Macaca fascicularis: one gene and its partner. The protein of the gene in region 2 interacts with the protein of the main gene of each other region in a pairwise test. Links are inferred from orthologs where the notes say so. Each region holds a gene or a part of one and is shown on either strand. Other genes may lie near its edges.

The links. The genes of interacting proteins can lie anywhere in the genome.
Region 1: the proteins of REL (region 2) and CEP19 interact in binary tests that used the Homo sapiens proteins (3 or more experiments, as listed by UniProt). The two-hybrid records come from large-scale screens. The link is inferred for Macaca fascicularis from reciprocal best matches to the Homo sapiens genes REL and CEP19.

Annotation. Positions count from the first base shown.
Region 1 is NC_088376.1:2,117,914-2,125,380, forward strand, and holds the start of CEP19 (centrosomal protein of 19 kDa), read right to left. Parts: upstream 5,022-7,467; 5' UTR 4,875-5,021; exon of another isoform or gene 4,348-4,874; coding exon of another isoform or gene 4,323-4,347; intron 860-4,322; exon of another isoform or gene 754-859; intron 622-753; exon of another isoform or gene 619-621; 5' UTR 564-618; coding exon 422-563; intron 1-421. UniProt on the Homo sapiens protein: Required for ciliation. Recruits the RABL2B GTPase to the ciliary base to initiate ciliation.
Region 2 is NC_088387.1:61,077,585-61,084,580, reverse strand, and holds part of REL (proto-oncogene c-Rel), read left to right. Parts: intron 1-2,927; coding exon 2,928-3,070; intron 3,071-6,214; coding exon 6,215-6,363; intron 6,364-6,996. UniProt on the Homo sapiens protein: Proto-oncogene that may play a role in differentiation and lymphopoiesis.

The DNA.
Region 1 (7,467 bases), on a different chromosome or scaffold from region 2:
TTCAGTGTGGTGGGAGAAGGAGAGATATAGTTTCGACTTCTTTAACTTAAAAATCACTTTGTAGAGATATTAAACACTTTCAACTGGAGAATATGTCTGAGAAGAAAAGTGATATTATAGCTTTTAGATAGCAGTAGTGGTATTAATAAAATATTAAGACTACAAATAAAAAACATTTGGAAGGAGAGAAGGGAATTAATATTATTGCATAATGCTATATCATTTAACCTAGGTAGCAATCCCAAAAAGATTATTAATTATCAAACTGGAAAAAAAATTCCCTTTTATAGATTAGGAAACTGAAGCTCATTGACACTAAGTAATTCATCCAGTGTCACACATCCAATCCCTGACAGAGTCATGATGTGAACCTGTATTTAGAGAATATTTAAGACAGGAGGCAAGATAAGACAAAAGTTACCTGAAAACTTTGAAAAGTTTCGAACTGGCATAATGCGCTGGCGAATTTTCCCCTTGACTTCACTCTCATAGATTAAGACAATAGCTGGAGGCTGAACCCTAATCCCACATTTCTTGGCAGTGCACATCATTCCCACGTACATGTCAGGGTAAGTCAGAGGAAATCTGATGGAAATGTGTAAGTTGCATAATGACTTCCTGCTACAGGGAAAAAACAACTAGGTGTTGGATAAATGTCATTCATTCCCCTCGCCCCTTTGCCCCAGAAGATCCGATTCTAGTCTAGCTCTGGCCACAGATGCTCAGCCTGTGAAGCTCAATATTTTTTAAAAATTAAAATGTAGAATCTTCATGAATTTGTGTGTCATCCTTGCGCAGGGGCCATGCTAATCTTCTCTGTATCATCCCAATTGTGGTGTATGTGTGCTGAAGCGACCACAAAGAGAGCTTCCTATTTTGAGAGCTGCCCTGAAGGTTCAGTTTGGTCCTGGGTTAGTTTCAATTTGTTGGATCCCTAAGGCTCTCTGGTGTTCTCAAGGATATAGACTTGTTCATATGTGAATCTGGGGATGCAATCCAGTGTGAACCTCTTAGTGTACTGCACTCTTACTGAAGATTGAATATGAACCCCTAAGTCAGTCCAATAGCTGACCTATAGGGTCTTTACTATTTATCAATTAAAAAAGGGCATATCAAGCATCCTCGGTATCAAGGTACTATGAGTTTTTTAACCTTAATCATTTTGTCCTGAGAGGTTCACCAGTCCAGAGCTGTCTCCTTTGTACTTTCCCAATTTACTAGAGTTTTTCGTTATTATTTATTTAATCATCTATCTTCCCTTCTAGTCAATATGGTATATGAGGGTGGGGGCATATTCATTTTTCACCACAATATCTCAGCATAATACCTGGAAAGTAGTAGGCATTCCATACATTGTTTAATGCTATGAATTAAAATGATGGTACCTGTACATTTTCGTAAGCACTTACAGTCTAGAAGCCTGATCAAAAAGCAGACCTGATACAGAATCATCTTCTTCATATACAAGTCAGTAACATCTGCACGGCTTTTATTTTGGCCTACGTGTCTCACTATATGATATTCTTCTAGCTACAAGAAGCACAGCTATTAATAGATGAATACTTACTATTCTCCCTTCCTTTCCCCACCCTCAATGCCCAAATAATACACTTAATCTCCTAAGCAGTGCTTTAGATGTGACTATGACATTCTCAGAAAGATTTGTAAATGTTAAGAAACATTGAGGTAAAGTGGCATAGGGTATGATATTTTCGTGAACTCAGTTCTGCTGAAGAATCACTATTAGGAACATACTTTTAATAAAATACTTAGCAGTGATTATACACCTTCATTGTAGAATACTGGGGGCAAAGGAGAGGGGAAACATATAGAAAATAATCACCCTTAATTGTGTCCAGTCTTTTTTCTAGGCATATAGTTTAAGTATGTTTCACACATGGTCGTACAAGCTATTTCCTGAAGTTCAAATTTAACAACATATGTTATTATTTTGTCATTAAATGTTTTACTACAATGTAACATTTTATACGACTGCTAAGTATTGTATTTTATGGATGTACTAAAATCATATTATTCACACTTATTGTTGGACATGAGAATTTTTACTCTTAGAAAATTAATCACGTATAAGCCCAGGCACAGTGGCTCACCCCAGTCAGCACTTTGGGAGGCTGAGGTGGGCAGATCACTTGAGGTCAGGAGTTCAAGACCAGCCTGGCCAACATGGTGACACCACGTCCCTACTAAACATCCAAAAATTAGCTGGGCATAGTGGCAGGTGCCTGTAATCCCAGCCACTTGAGAGGCCGAGGCAGGAGACTCACTTGAACCTGGGAGGTGGAGGTCACAGTGAGCCGAGACGGTACCACTGCATTCCAGCCTGGGTGACAGAGCAAGATTCCATCTCAAAAAGATGGAGGCAGCCATGGTGGCTCAGGCCTGTAATCCCAACACTTTGGGAGGCCAAGGAGGGAAGATCCCTTGAGGCCAGGAGTTTGAGACCAGCCTGGGCAACACAGTGAGCCCATGACCATGTCTCTACAAAAAATTTAAAAATTGGCCAGGCATGGCAGCATGCACCTGTAGTCCCAGATACTCCAAAGGCCACGGTGGGAGAATCGCTTGAACCCAGGAGTTTGAGGCTGCAGTGAGTTGAGATGGTGCCACTGCACAACAGCCTCTCCAAAGCGTGATAAGCCTATTCTTTAAAAAAAAAAAAACTTTAGCCGGGCGCGGTGGCTCAAGCCTGTAATCCCAGCACTTTGGGAGGCCGAGGCGGGTGGATCACGAGGTCAGGAGATCGAGACTATCCTGGCTAACATGGTGAAACCCCGTCTCTACTAAAAATACAAAAAACTAGCCGGGCGTGGTGGCGGGCGCCTGTAGTCTCAGCTACTTGGGAGGCTGAGGCGGGAGAATGGCGGGAACCCGGGAGGCGGAGCTTGCAGTGAGCCGAGATCACGCCACTGCACTCCAGCCTGGGAGACACAGCGAGACTCCGTCTCAAAAAAAAAAAAAAAAAAAAAAACTTTAAAAAATTACTGTGCTCTACCTCTAATCTGATGCAATGATCCCACACCATTTTCTCCTTCTTTTCCTTCTCTTTTCCTTTTTTTTTTTTTTTTTTTTTGAGACGGAGTCTCGCTCTGTCGCCCAGGCTGGAGTGCAGTGGCGCGATCTCGGCTCACTGCAAGCTCCGCCTCCCGGGTTCACGCCATTCTCCTGCCTCAGCCTCCCGAGTAGCTGGGACTACAGGCTCCCGCCACCGCGCCCGGCTAGTTTTTTGTATTTTTAGTAGAGACGGGGTTTCACCGTGGTCTCGATCTCCTGACCTTGTGATCCGCCCGCCTCGGCCTCCCAAAGTGCTGGGATTACAGGCGTGAGCCACCGCGCCCAGCTTTTTTTTGTTTTTCAACGAATACTACTCCCAATTCACCTAACTAAAATTTGATGTTAGTAAACTAGAACCTACTGGGCACAATATAAACTACACACACTGACGCAGTGGCTGTACTCCTCAAAGATGTATGCAGTTGGTGCTCAAATAATGTAGTTTTTTTTACTAGACTCTTTTTAAAATTTAACTTTAATTTTTGTTGAAGTAATGTTTGTATTTGGAATATAAAATAATTCTATAAGGCTTATAACAACAAACTATAGTCCTTGGCCCTACTCCTCTTCATACGGAGCCGGATTGAATTTTAAAAAGCATGCCTTCCAAAATTTCTCTCTCCATTTCTTAAGAAACATGCTTATACTACCATTTTCAGTTTTTATTTTTTTGAAACAAGTCTCGCTCTGTCGCCCAGGCTGCAGTGCAGTGGTGTGATCTCGGCTCACTGCAACCTCCACCTCCCGGGTTCAAGCGATTCTCGTGCCTCAGCCTCCCAAGTAGCTGGAATTACAGGTGCCTACCACCACGCCCAGCTAATTGTATTTTCAGTAGCGACGGGGTTTCGCCATGTTGGCCAGGCTAGTCTCGAACTCCTGACCTCAGGTGATTCGCCCAAAGTGCTGGGACTATAGGCGTGAGCCACCTTGCCCGGCTATTTTCAGTTTTGGATAGTATCTTTTGACATACATTGTTTCCCCTTTGAGACACCAGCTCTAGAGCCCTCTATTCCACTCCAAGCCGCCTGTGCTCTCTTGGCCTGCTTACAGATTACACTCTGTTCAGGAAGAAGGAGGCCACGTTTATACAATTATTCTTCCTGGACACGAATACTCCTCTCTCCAGAGATCAGGAACTGCCTACAATCTTGTTAGGAAGCCCCACAGCACCTAAGGGTACGGATGTCGCCAAACGGTAGACGATTCTTTCCCTACTCACGTCTCCACTAGTGCAAGGCTGGCTTTCTTACCCTTAGAGAAATACAGAAATGACATCTTCTGCAGGCCAACGTCTAAACACCCAGGCGTGGGTTTTTCCACCCAACCGCAGCGCACGGAAAGCACCTAAGCCGACTTTGAGGCCGGGCGGAGCCTGGCGCTGCAGGAAGAGGCCACAGCCACAGCCCTACTGACGAGCCCGAGGGGTGAACTCCCCGGCCGGAGGCCCGAACCCTCAAACACCGGGAAGCGGAGGTGGGGCCGGCCGGGGGCACGGTCCACCGGCTCCCACCTCGGCGTGCAGGGATTCTGGGGGGCGCTGGCCGAGCCGTTTCCACAGCAACAGGCCGGGCGCGCGTCCCCGCGCGTGCGCAGCTCCTCGCCCGCCCCCGGGTGGGCGGAGAGGGGAACGGCGGGGCCGGGACGGCCGCCTCACGCCGCGCGGGAACCTGTGGGGGCCGGGGCTACAGGCCGCGGGGAACCGCGGGCGCCAGGGGCGCACCCAGCCCTCTGTCCCGGCCGGTAAATCTGGGGCAGCGCGCCGTAGGAGCTGCGGGCAGCCAGGCCCCTTCCTGCGTCCGCACCTGGCCCCGCGCGCCCCTCTCGGGCGTCCGGCCTCCGGCGTCCTGGCGGTTCGGGTGGCGGCGGTTCGGGCGGTCGCCTGGCTGCTCCTCGGGGCGGCGACCGGGCTCACGCGCGGGTCCCCCGCGGTCCTCGGCGCCGCGCGCTCTGACGCGGGTAAGGGGCGGGGCTGCGGAATGCGGGCGGGGCTTGGGGGCCGGAGCGTGGGGAGCGGTCGCGGCTCCCCGGCCTCTCCGCCGGTTACGGGGATGTGGGGACCCGGCGCGGGACTTAGATCAGCAGGGCCAGCCGGAGGAGGTCAAACGCTAGAGCCGCGTGCCCTCCTCCCGCCCCCGGCGCTCCCGTGCGCTTTGCTCTGCGGCGGATCCCGGGTCTCCGGAGAGTGGGGCTCGGGCCCTGCGGTTCCCAGGCTGGACTGGCCGCCCTGTCACTAAGGTCCTGAGAAGGAAAGTCAGCCGTCAGGCGTCTTGGGACGCTCTTGGGTTGCACGAAGCTTCTGATCACCAAGGGGCCAGCAAGGCCTTAGCGCCCTGTGAGGCCTGAGAATGCCTAAACCGAATATAGGACTGCGTGCAAACTGCTAGTTGTTCGTGCAAGTAGTAGTTGGCAAACTGCTTGTACTACTGAGGCAGGCAAGCGCGGGAATAGTTACAATAAAGTGGTAAGGTTTGACGGGAGGAAAGCACAAACCCGGCAAGTTTCTCCATCTGTAAAATGAGGATGTTTCTGTCATCCTTGGTACCATTTAGATCCATTTAGTATGTGTCAATCAGTGCATTTCTGCTTGTGTGTTTACATACTGGGTTTTCAAGTTTATCTAAACAAAGGATTATGAGGCCAACAATTTCTTTTTTTTTTTTTTTTGAGATGGAGTCTCACTTGCCCAGGCTGGAGTGCAATGGCGCGATCTCGGCTCACTGCAACCTCCGCCTCCCAAGTTCAAGCAATTCTTCTGCCTCAACCTCGCAAGTAGCTGGGATTATTACAGGCGCCCGCCACCATGCCCAGCTAATTTTTTGTATTTTAGTAGAGACGGGGTTTTGCCATATTGGTCAGGCTGGTCTTGAACTCCTGACCTCAGGTGGTCCACCCTCCTCAGCCTCCCAAAGTGCCGGGATTACAGGCGTGAACCACCATGCCCGGCCAGAAGAATTTTTAAACAGTTGGATTTGGTCATCTCTAGAGGCTTCCAGCATTGGCATTTTATAATTAAAAAGGGGTCAAAATTAGCCGGGCCTGATGGCGTGGGCCTGTAATCCCAGCTACTCGGGAGGCTAAGGCAGGAGAATCGCTTGAACTAGGGAGGCCAAGGTTGCAGTGAGCTGAGATCGCGCCGTTGCACTCCAGTCTGGGTGACAGAAGGAGACTCTGTCTCAAAAAGAAAAAAAGTAAAAAGGAGTCAATTGGCCGGGTGCGGTGGCTCAAGCCTGTAATCCCAGCACTTTGGGAGGCCGAGACGGGTGGATCACGAGGTCAGGAGATCGAGACCATCCTGGCTAACACGGTGAAACCCCATCTCTACTAAAAAATACAAAAAACTAGCCGGGCGAGGCGGCGGGCGCCTGTAGTCCCAGCTACTCGGGAGGCTGAGGCAGGAGAATGGCGTGAACCCGGGAGAAGGAGCTTGCAGTGAGCTGAGATTGGGCCACTGCACTCCAGCCTGGGCCACAGAGTGAGACTCCGTCTCAAAAAAAAAAAAAAAAAAAAAAAAGGAGTCAATTTCCAGAGCCAGTTCACCACAACCAAAGTAATATTTAAGAGGAAAAATGTTGAAGGTAAATTCATATCCAACAAATTCTTTTTAAAAGTGGTACTTTTGCCTTTAAAGTCATAATATTATAGTATTTGCTATACTATTTGTAAATTAGCCTTTCTCCGGTCCCAGTGATCAACTGCTGTCTGGTGTACATACCGATAGAATTTAAACCTGTTAATAATTTTTCTTCTAATTTAATTTATAGTTGGATAGTAGCCCTCACTTCCCACCCTACCCCTGTTAAAATTAAACATGATGAAGAAAAATCTGGATTTGTGCTGGGTACAGCGACTCACACCTGAAATTCTAACACATTGGGAGGCTGAGGTGGGAGGATTGCTTGAGGCCAAGAGTTCAAGACCAGCCTGGAAAACATAGCAAGACCTTGTCTCTACAAAAAAATGTAAAACTAGCCAGGTGTGGTGGCGTGGGCCTGTAATCCTAGCTACTTGGGAGGCTGACGTAGGAGGATTGCTTGAGCCCAGAGGTTCAAGGCTGCAGTGAGCTGTGATCATGCCACTGCACTCCAGCTTGTGTGACAGAGTAAGGCCCTGTCTCTCTTTTTTTTTTTTTTTTTGAGACGGAGTCTCGCTCTGTCGCCAGGCTGGAGTGCGGTGGCGTGATATCGGCTCATTACAACCTCCACCTCCCAGGTTCACGCGATTCTTCTGCCTCAGCCTTCCAAGTAGCTGGGACTACAGGTGCACACCACCACACCTGGCTAATTTTTTGTATTTTGGTAAAGACAGAGTTTCACCATGTTGGCCAGCATGGTCTCAAACTCTTGACCTTGTGATCTGTCCGCCTCGCCCTCCCAGAGTGCTGGGATTGCAGGCATA
Region 2 (6,996 bases):
CTGTCTCTACTAAAAATACAAAAAACTAGCCAGGTATAGCTGGCGTGGTGGCGGGCGCCTGTAGTCCCAGCTACTCGGGAGGCTGAGGCAGGAGAATGGCGTGAACATGGGAGGTGGAGCTTGCAGTGAGGCGATATCACGCCACTGCACTCCAGCCTGGATGACAGAGCGAGACTAAGTCTCAAAAAAAAAAAAAAAAAAAAATTTGAAATTGCAGTATGAATTTGAAATATTTGAAATATGCAAGGATAAAATTGTGAAATACTCATCTGCATATCTTATGTTTTTGAGTAAAACTGAAATAAGGATTATGTATGGGTTAAAGTCAGTTTTCTCTGACTCTTCATCTTTTGAATAAACAAATAGGTAGTAGATTCAAGCACAGAGAGTTTGCACCATACAGAATAAAATTGAAAGTAATGGTAATACTTTATTCAGTAACCCAAAGTAGAAGCCATGGAACCATCAATGATTCTTTAATTTCTGAGCCATCAGTGATTTTTTAATTTCTCTTAACCCTAATGTTCAGGCACCAGGTGCTGTCAATTTTATCTTTTAAATAATCTTTCATTCCTTTTATCACTGCCATATATCAGACATACTGTCATCATTGCCCACATTATTATAGTGGTCTCTAAACTGATCACGTTGCTTTCTTTTTTCTGTCTGCTGTGACCAAAAATTTTTTTTTTTTTTTGAGACAGAGTCTCGCTCTGTTGCCCAGGCTGGAGTGCAGTGGCCGATCTCGGCTGACTGCAACCTCTGCCTCCCGGGTTCACGCCATTCTCCTGCCTCAGCCTCCTGAGTAGCTGGGACTACAGGCGTCCACCACCACGCCCGGCTAATTTTTTTTATATGTTTAGTAGAGACGGGGTTTCACCGTGTTAGCCAGGATGGTCTCGATCTCCTGACCTCGTGATCTACCCGCCTCGGCCTCCCAAAGTGCTGGGATTACAGGCGTGAGCCACTGTGCCCCGCTTAAAATTTTTACTCTAAAACGTAAATATGATCATGTGATTTGCCTGCATCAAATTATTCATTGATTTCATCACACATAAAATGAAATCCACATTGCCAAGTGTGCTCTGACTTTTAGTTCTCTTTCTAAGAGAGGAAGTGTATTCCACTTACAAACATTGGTGATTCTTAAATAAACCCTCCTCTGTGGACACATTGTTCCCCTTTCCCTAGAATACCTAACTTTTTCCTCTTTATTTCCCCCACTCTTTTGCTTCATTAACCGCTCTTTTTCCACTGACACAGTTGGGCGTTCCTGACTCTTCCGCTCTTATTTCCACAAAATTTTGTTAGTGCTTTCCTTCCTTCTGTAGTCTAATAATATGTGTTGTTCGCCTTGCTCTTCTGTAAGGTCCTTTAGAGTGACAGTTGTGATGCCACCATGGTATCACTAAATCATTGTTATCAAGAAAGCATCTGAAATAATAGACACCATTTATTGAACATATATGTATATATGACACTTGGTAAGAATTTAGCACGTATAATCTGTAATCTTCACAACAACCCAATGAGGTAGGTGCTATTATGATTATTCCTATTTTACAGAGGCGGAAACTAAGAGATTTTAATTTTAATAACTTTTCTGTGGTCTTACTGTTAGGAAGTAGATGGGGTAGGATTCCAGAGGCCTCTTCTTCATACTGTTCTGATAAGGCCCACTGTGTTACCATTTCTCAGGATTGCTTGCATTCTAACAGGAGAAGCCTTAGTCGGCACTAAACTGATTAAGGGACCCTTTTTTTTTTTTTTAATGGAAAACATCTTCACACCTCTATTAACTCCCCTACTTGCAAGTACAGTTGAGTGTCTATTTACCTTTTCCCCCACAATTTGGATAATAAAAAATAGTAAAGTTACATATATTTTAAATAACTTTATTGACATATTGACATATAATTTATGTACAACAAACTGCACTTTTAAAGTATGCAATTTGATAATTTTTGACATACCTATACAACCTTGGAATCATCATCACAAGATAATTAACATGTCCATTGTCCCCCCTGCCTTTCCTATCCACCATATATTCTTGTTCTTAGGCAACCAGTGATCTGCTATTGTTCATTGTATGTTACTTTACATATCCTAGAGTTTCATATAAATGGAATCATGCAGTATGTGCTCTTCTGGTCTAACTTCTTTCACTCAGCATAATGATTTTGAGAGTCATCATGTTATTATATGTATCAGCAATTCATTCTGCAGATGCTTATTTTGAATTTTAGTTATTATAGAAAGTAAATAATTTTTTTTCTCTGTTGTATCTTTAGAAAAGGTTTACATGGGACTGGTGACACATTCTTTGAGCCTAAAGTCCCTCCTGGGGCTTGTTTTGATATACTATGTGTAAGTCCTTTAACATTTGAATGGAGATAGAAAAAACTTACATATGCTTCTGCAGGGATTTAAATGCATTTTCATTTTCAGTGAATGGTCTTTTCATTCAGTATTATGAATATGATGTAAAATCAAGCAGTTAAATACATTTAACTCACTTTAGGAGTGTAATATTTTACTTCTGAGTACTATCTTCTTTACCCTTCTTGGGGAATCTTGGGGGAAACCCTTCTGCTAGGTCTCACGTGGGAGGTGGATATCTCTGAAGTGGTTATCTCAGAAGTTCATATTGATGTTAGCTATAGATATTAAGCTATAAAGTGCTAACCAATCAATATGGTTTGAATGACTTGTTTTGACACTACATAGGGACTCAATCTGAATGGGAAAAAAAGGTGCCTCTCCCAGCCAATCTCCAAGATAACATTTCAACCTTGTTATTTAATGTTAGGAGGAAAAAAAAATCTTTATTTTAGTCTGCTGTTATGAAAAAACAGACGTGTTAAAATCCATTATTAATTGCTATATTAATCTCACTCACCTCCTCCTTTTAAAAAACTTTTCAGGTGCGTATAACCCGTATATAGAGATAATTGAACAACCCAGGCAGAGGGGAATGCGTTTTAGATACAAATGTGAAGGGCGATCAGCGGGCAGCATTCCAGGGGAGCACAGCACAGACAACAACCGAACATACCCTTCTATCCAGGTAATAGACCCTTCTTCTATGTCTATCTCGCTATTAGTTGCTTCATATATTAGCTATAGCAATTATTTTAAAGGGACAGTTTCTTAACAATCATCTCCACAGTTTTGTCTTTTTCTTTTTTCCTTTTTTCTTTTTCTTTTTCTTTTTCTTTTTCCTTTTCCTCATAATGTTTAGTCGCTCTACTTAGGTTAATACACAGCACCATATAGCTATCTGCAGTGGGGATAGTTGGCAGCTTTTGGATCATGTTCTTTTTCATGGAACACAAAGATAATAAGGAAAACCCATTCTCTACAGAGGTGGGTGATACTCTTCTGTAGATTAAACATAGGTTTGATAACTCAATCATAATTCTTCTTGGCTAGTCTTAGGGCTAGAACATTTTTTTGTCCTTTTTCTTACCTTTGTTGCTTGTCTCTGATTCTCTGGGTCATTGACTGATTTGAAATACCACTTTATAAATGTAGTTTTCTCACATTAGCATAAATTTTTAAAAGCTTTTGACTAAAAATGACTTTGGTAAACATACTAATAGTTATAAGATGTACTAAATTTATTTATTTATTTTTGAAATGGAGTTTCGTGCTTGTTTCCCAGGCTGGAGTGCAATGTCACAATCTTGGCTCACTGCAACCTCCACCTCCTGGGTTCAAGTGATTCTCCTGCCTCAGCCTACCGAGTAGCTGGGATTACAGGTGCCCACCACCACGCCCAGCTGATTTTTGTATTTTTTAGTAGAGGCAAGGTTTCACCATGTTGGCCAGGCTGATCTCGAACTCCTGACCTCAGGTGATCCACCTGTCTCGGCCTCCCAAAGCGTTGGGATTACAGGCATGAGCCACCGCGCACAGCCAAGATGTACTAAATTTATTTACTTATTATATATTTATTTATTTTTTTTTGAGACGGAGTCTCACTCTTTTGCCCAGGCTGTAGTGCAGTGTCACAATCTCTGCTCACTGCAAGCTCCACCTCCCGGGTTCACGCCATTCTCCTGCCTCAGCCTCCCGAGTAGCTGGGACTACAGGTGCCCACCACCACTGGTGCCTGGCTAATTTTTTTGCATTTTTAGTAGAAATGGGGTTTCACCATGTTAGCCAGGATAGGATGGTCTTGATCTCCTGACCTCGTGATCCACCCACCTCAGCCTCCCAAAGTGCTGGGATTACAGGTGTGAGCCACCACGCCCGGCCTATTTTTTATTTTTTTGAGACAGAGTTTCACTCTGTCGCCCAGGCTGGAGGGCAATGGCATGATCTTGGCTCACTGCAACCTCCGCCTCCCAGGTTCAAGTGATTCTCCTGTCTCAGCCTTCTGAGTAGCTGGGACTACAGGCGTGTGCCACCACACCCAGCTAATTTTTGTATTTTTAGTAGAGACGGGGTTTCACCGTGTTAGCCAGGATGGTCTCAATCTCCTGACCTCATGATCCGCTCGCCTCGGTCTCCCAAAGTGCTGGGATTACAGGCGTGAGCCACTGCACCCAGCCCAATGTACTAAATTTATATTTTCTATTTGTAAACTGTTTTTCATTTGAGTTTCAGTGAAGGGTTTATCCTTTAAATGCCAATTAAAAACTTGAATGGTAAAGTAGATTTTGAAGTGTTACTTTTTTTTTTTATTTGAAAAGTGTTACTTTTATCAACAGATCTTAATTCATTGTTTTATAACTAGATTATTTACAAAGTCTATTCTGTTGATGAACTTAAAGGGAATTGCTAAGTTATAGAATAAATCAGTGGCAAAATTATATATTGAATTCCAGATTTCTATTTTTATCACATTTTTGGCAGTAGTATGGATTTGGGTTATCTAAGTCTTTTAAATGTTAAAATGGGTGAGATGCTAATAAAAAGGAACTAAGGAGCCGGGCGCGGTGGCTCAAGCCTGTAATCCCAGCACTTTGGGAGGCCGAGGCGGGTGGATCACGAGGTCAGGAGATCGAGACCATCCTGGCTAACACAGTGAAACCCCGTCTCTACTAAAAAATACAAAAAACTAGCCGGGCGAGGTGGCGGGCGCCTGTAGTCCCAGCTACTCGGGAGGCTGAGGCAGGAGAATGGCGTGAACCCGGGAGGCGGAGCTTGCAGTGAGCCGAGATCCGGCCACTGCATTCCAGCCTGGGCGACAGAGCGAGACTCCGTCTCCAGAAAAAAAAAAATTTAAAAAAAAGGAACTAAGGAAATACTCTTTGGCCAGTTTTTTGAGTCATTTTTAAAGTTTTCTTCATAATTCGTCTTATCCTATGCATCTCTAAAATATTTCTAAGATCTGTATTTTTACTATTCCAGTAGGTCCTAAACACTTTACAGCTTGAGTTGTGTATTTGCCTACTTATAGTCTTGAGCAATTACCTTTACTTTCATACAGAAAGAAATGTAATACTTCCTGGTTACTTTCAAATTCTAATTCAAAATTATGGATTTTAGTTTCCTCTACCTCGTAAGCTAGCCATTCTTACTTTACCTTGCTCCTTTGTGGTATGCTGGTTTTTATATTCCCCGCTTTGTTCTTGCAAATTTACTAGCTTTCAAACTAAGCATTATTTCCTGTCCTCATTCCTCTTCCATGTTAAACTCTCCTTTTTACTCTGTGTTCTAAGATGTACTTTCTATGTGAAATTTGATGTTGTTAAACTCAATTTGATTTATTGCCTATTCTAGAGTGCAGTTGGGGTATGCTTACTGAAAAAATATTTTTGTGAAATGAAATGTCACATATTAAGTAAAATGATCATATTTATGTGCTATCCTTTCCAATATGGCTTAAATATATATTCAAGGAATGTTTATGGTATGACAGTACATTTAAGAGCTGGGCATTTAGTGACTTAACATCTGTTTTCTCATGTTCTATGATAAAATTTGGGTAGAGTTTTACTTGTTTTAAAAGGAAAATTAAGCAGAGTCAAATGATATGACCAAATGAAATTAGGGCAGAAAATATGTCAAGAAGCTGAGAGGTAAGTTCTTCTATACTGGTATTCTCTGGAAAGTTTCATCTAAAGTGCAGTTGTTTGTCAGTTGGACTTTATTTATTTAGTGCCAATTACATTATAATTAATGTAAATTGAACTCTCATTTAGTAGATCAGTTTCTAATGCGATCTATTTGGATCATATATTTAATTTCCCCCTTTTTTCAGATTATGAACTATTATGGAAAAGGAAAAGTGAGAATTACATTAGTAACAAAGAATGACCCATATAAACCTCATCCTCATGATTTAGTTGGAAAAGACTGCAGAGACGGCTACTATGAAGCGGAATTTGGACAAGAACGCAGACCTTTGTTGTAAGTACACAGCTACAGACATCTTCAGAAATAAGATGAGACATAGGACGTTCTGTTTCTTCTCCGTGACAGTCTGTTACTTTTTAGCAGAATAATTTTCTCATTCTACTTCTATTTACTATATTTTACACTTATATTTTTACTATTTGCATTAGAACTACCCTTTCATTCTTCATTAGTAGACACATCTTATGATGGTTAGCAGGAAGACATTTTTATTGTTATTAAAAGTAAACGTAAACTTATTGTATACCGTGATTTCCTTTCTTGGGGTGGACAGTTTTTGAAATAATTTTTCACTCTTTTTTTTTTTTTCAAGACGGAGTTTTGCTCTTGTTGCCTAGGCTAGAGTGCAGTGGCACAATCTTGGCTCACTGCAACCTCCACCTCCTGGGTTCAAGCGATTCTCCTGCCTCAGCCTCCCGAGTAGCTGGGATTACAGGCATGCGCCACCACGCCTGGTTAATTTTTTTTGTATTTTTATTAGAGATGGGGTTTCTGCATGTTGGTCAGGCTGGTCTCGAACTCCCAACCTCAGATGATCTGCCTGCCTCTGCCTCCCAAAGTGTTGGGATTACAGGCGTGGGCCACCGCGCCCGGCCTCTGTCTTTTCATTTATAGTTAACTTATTAT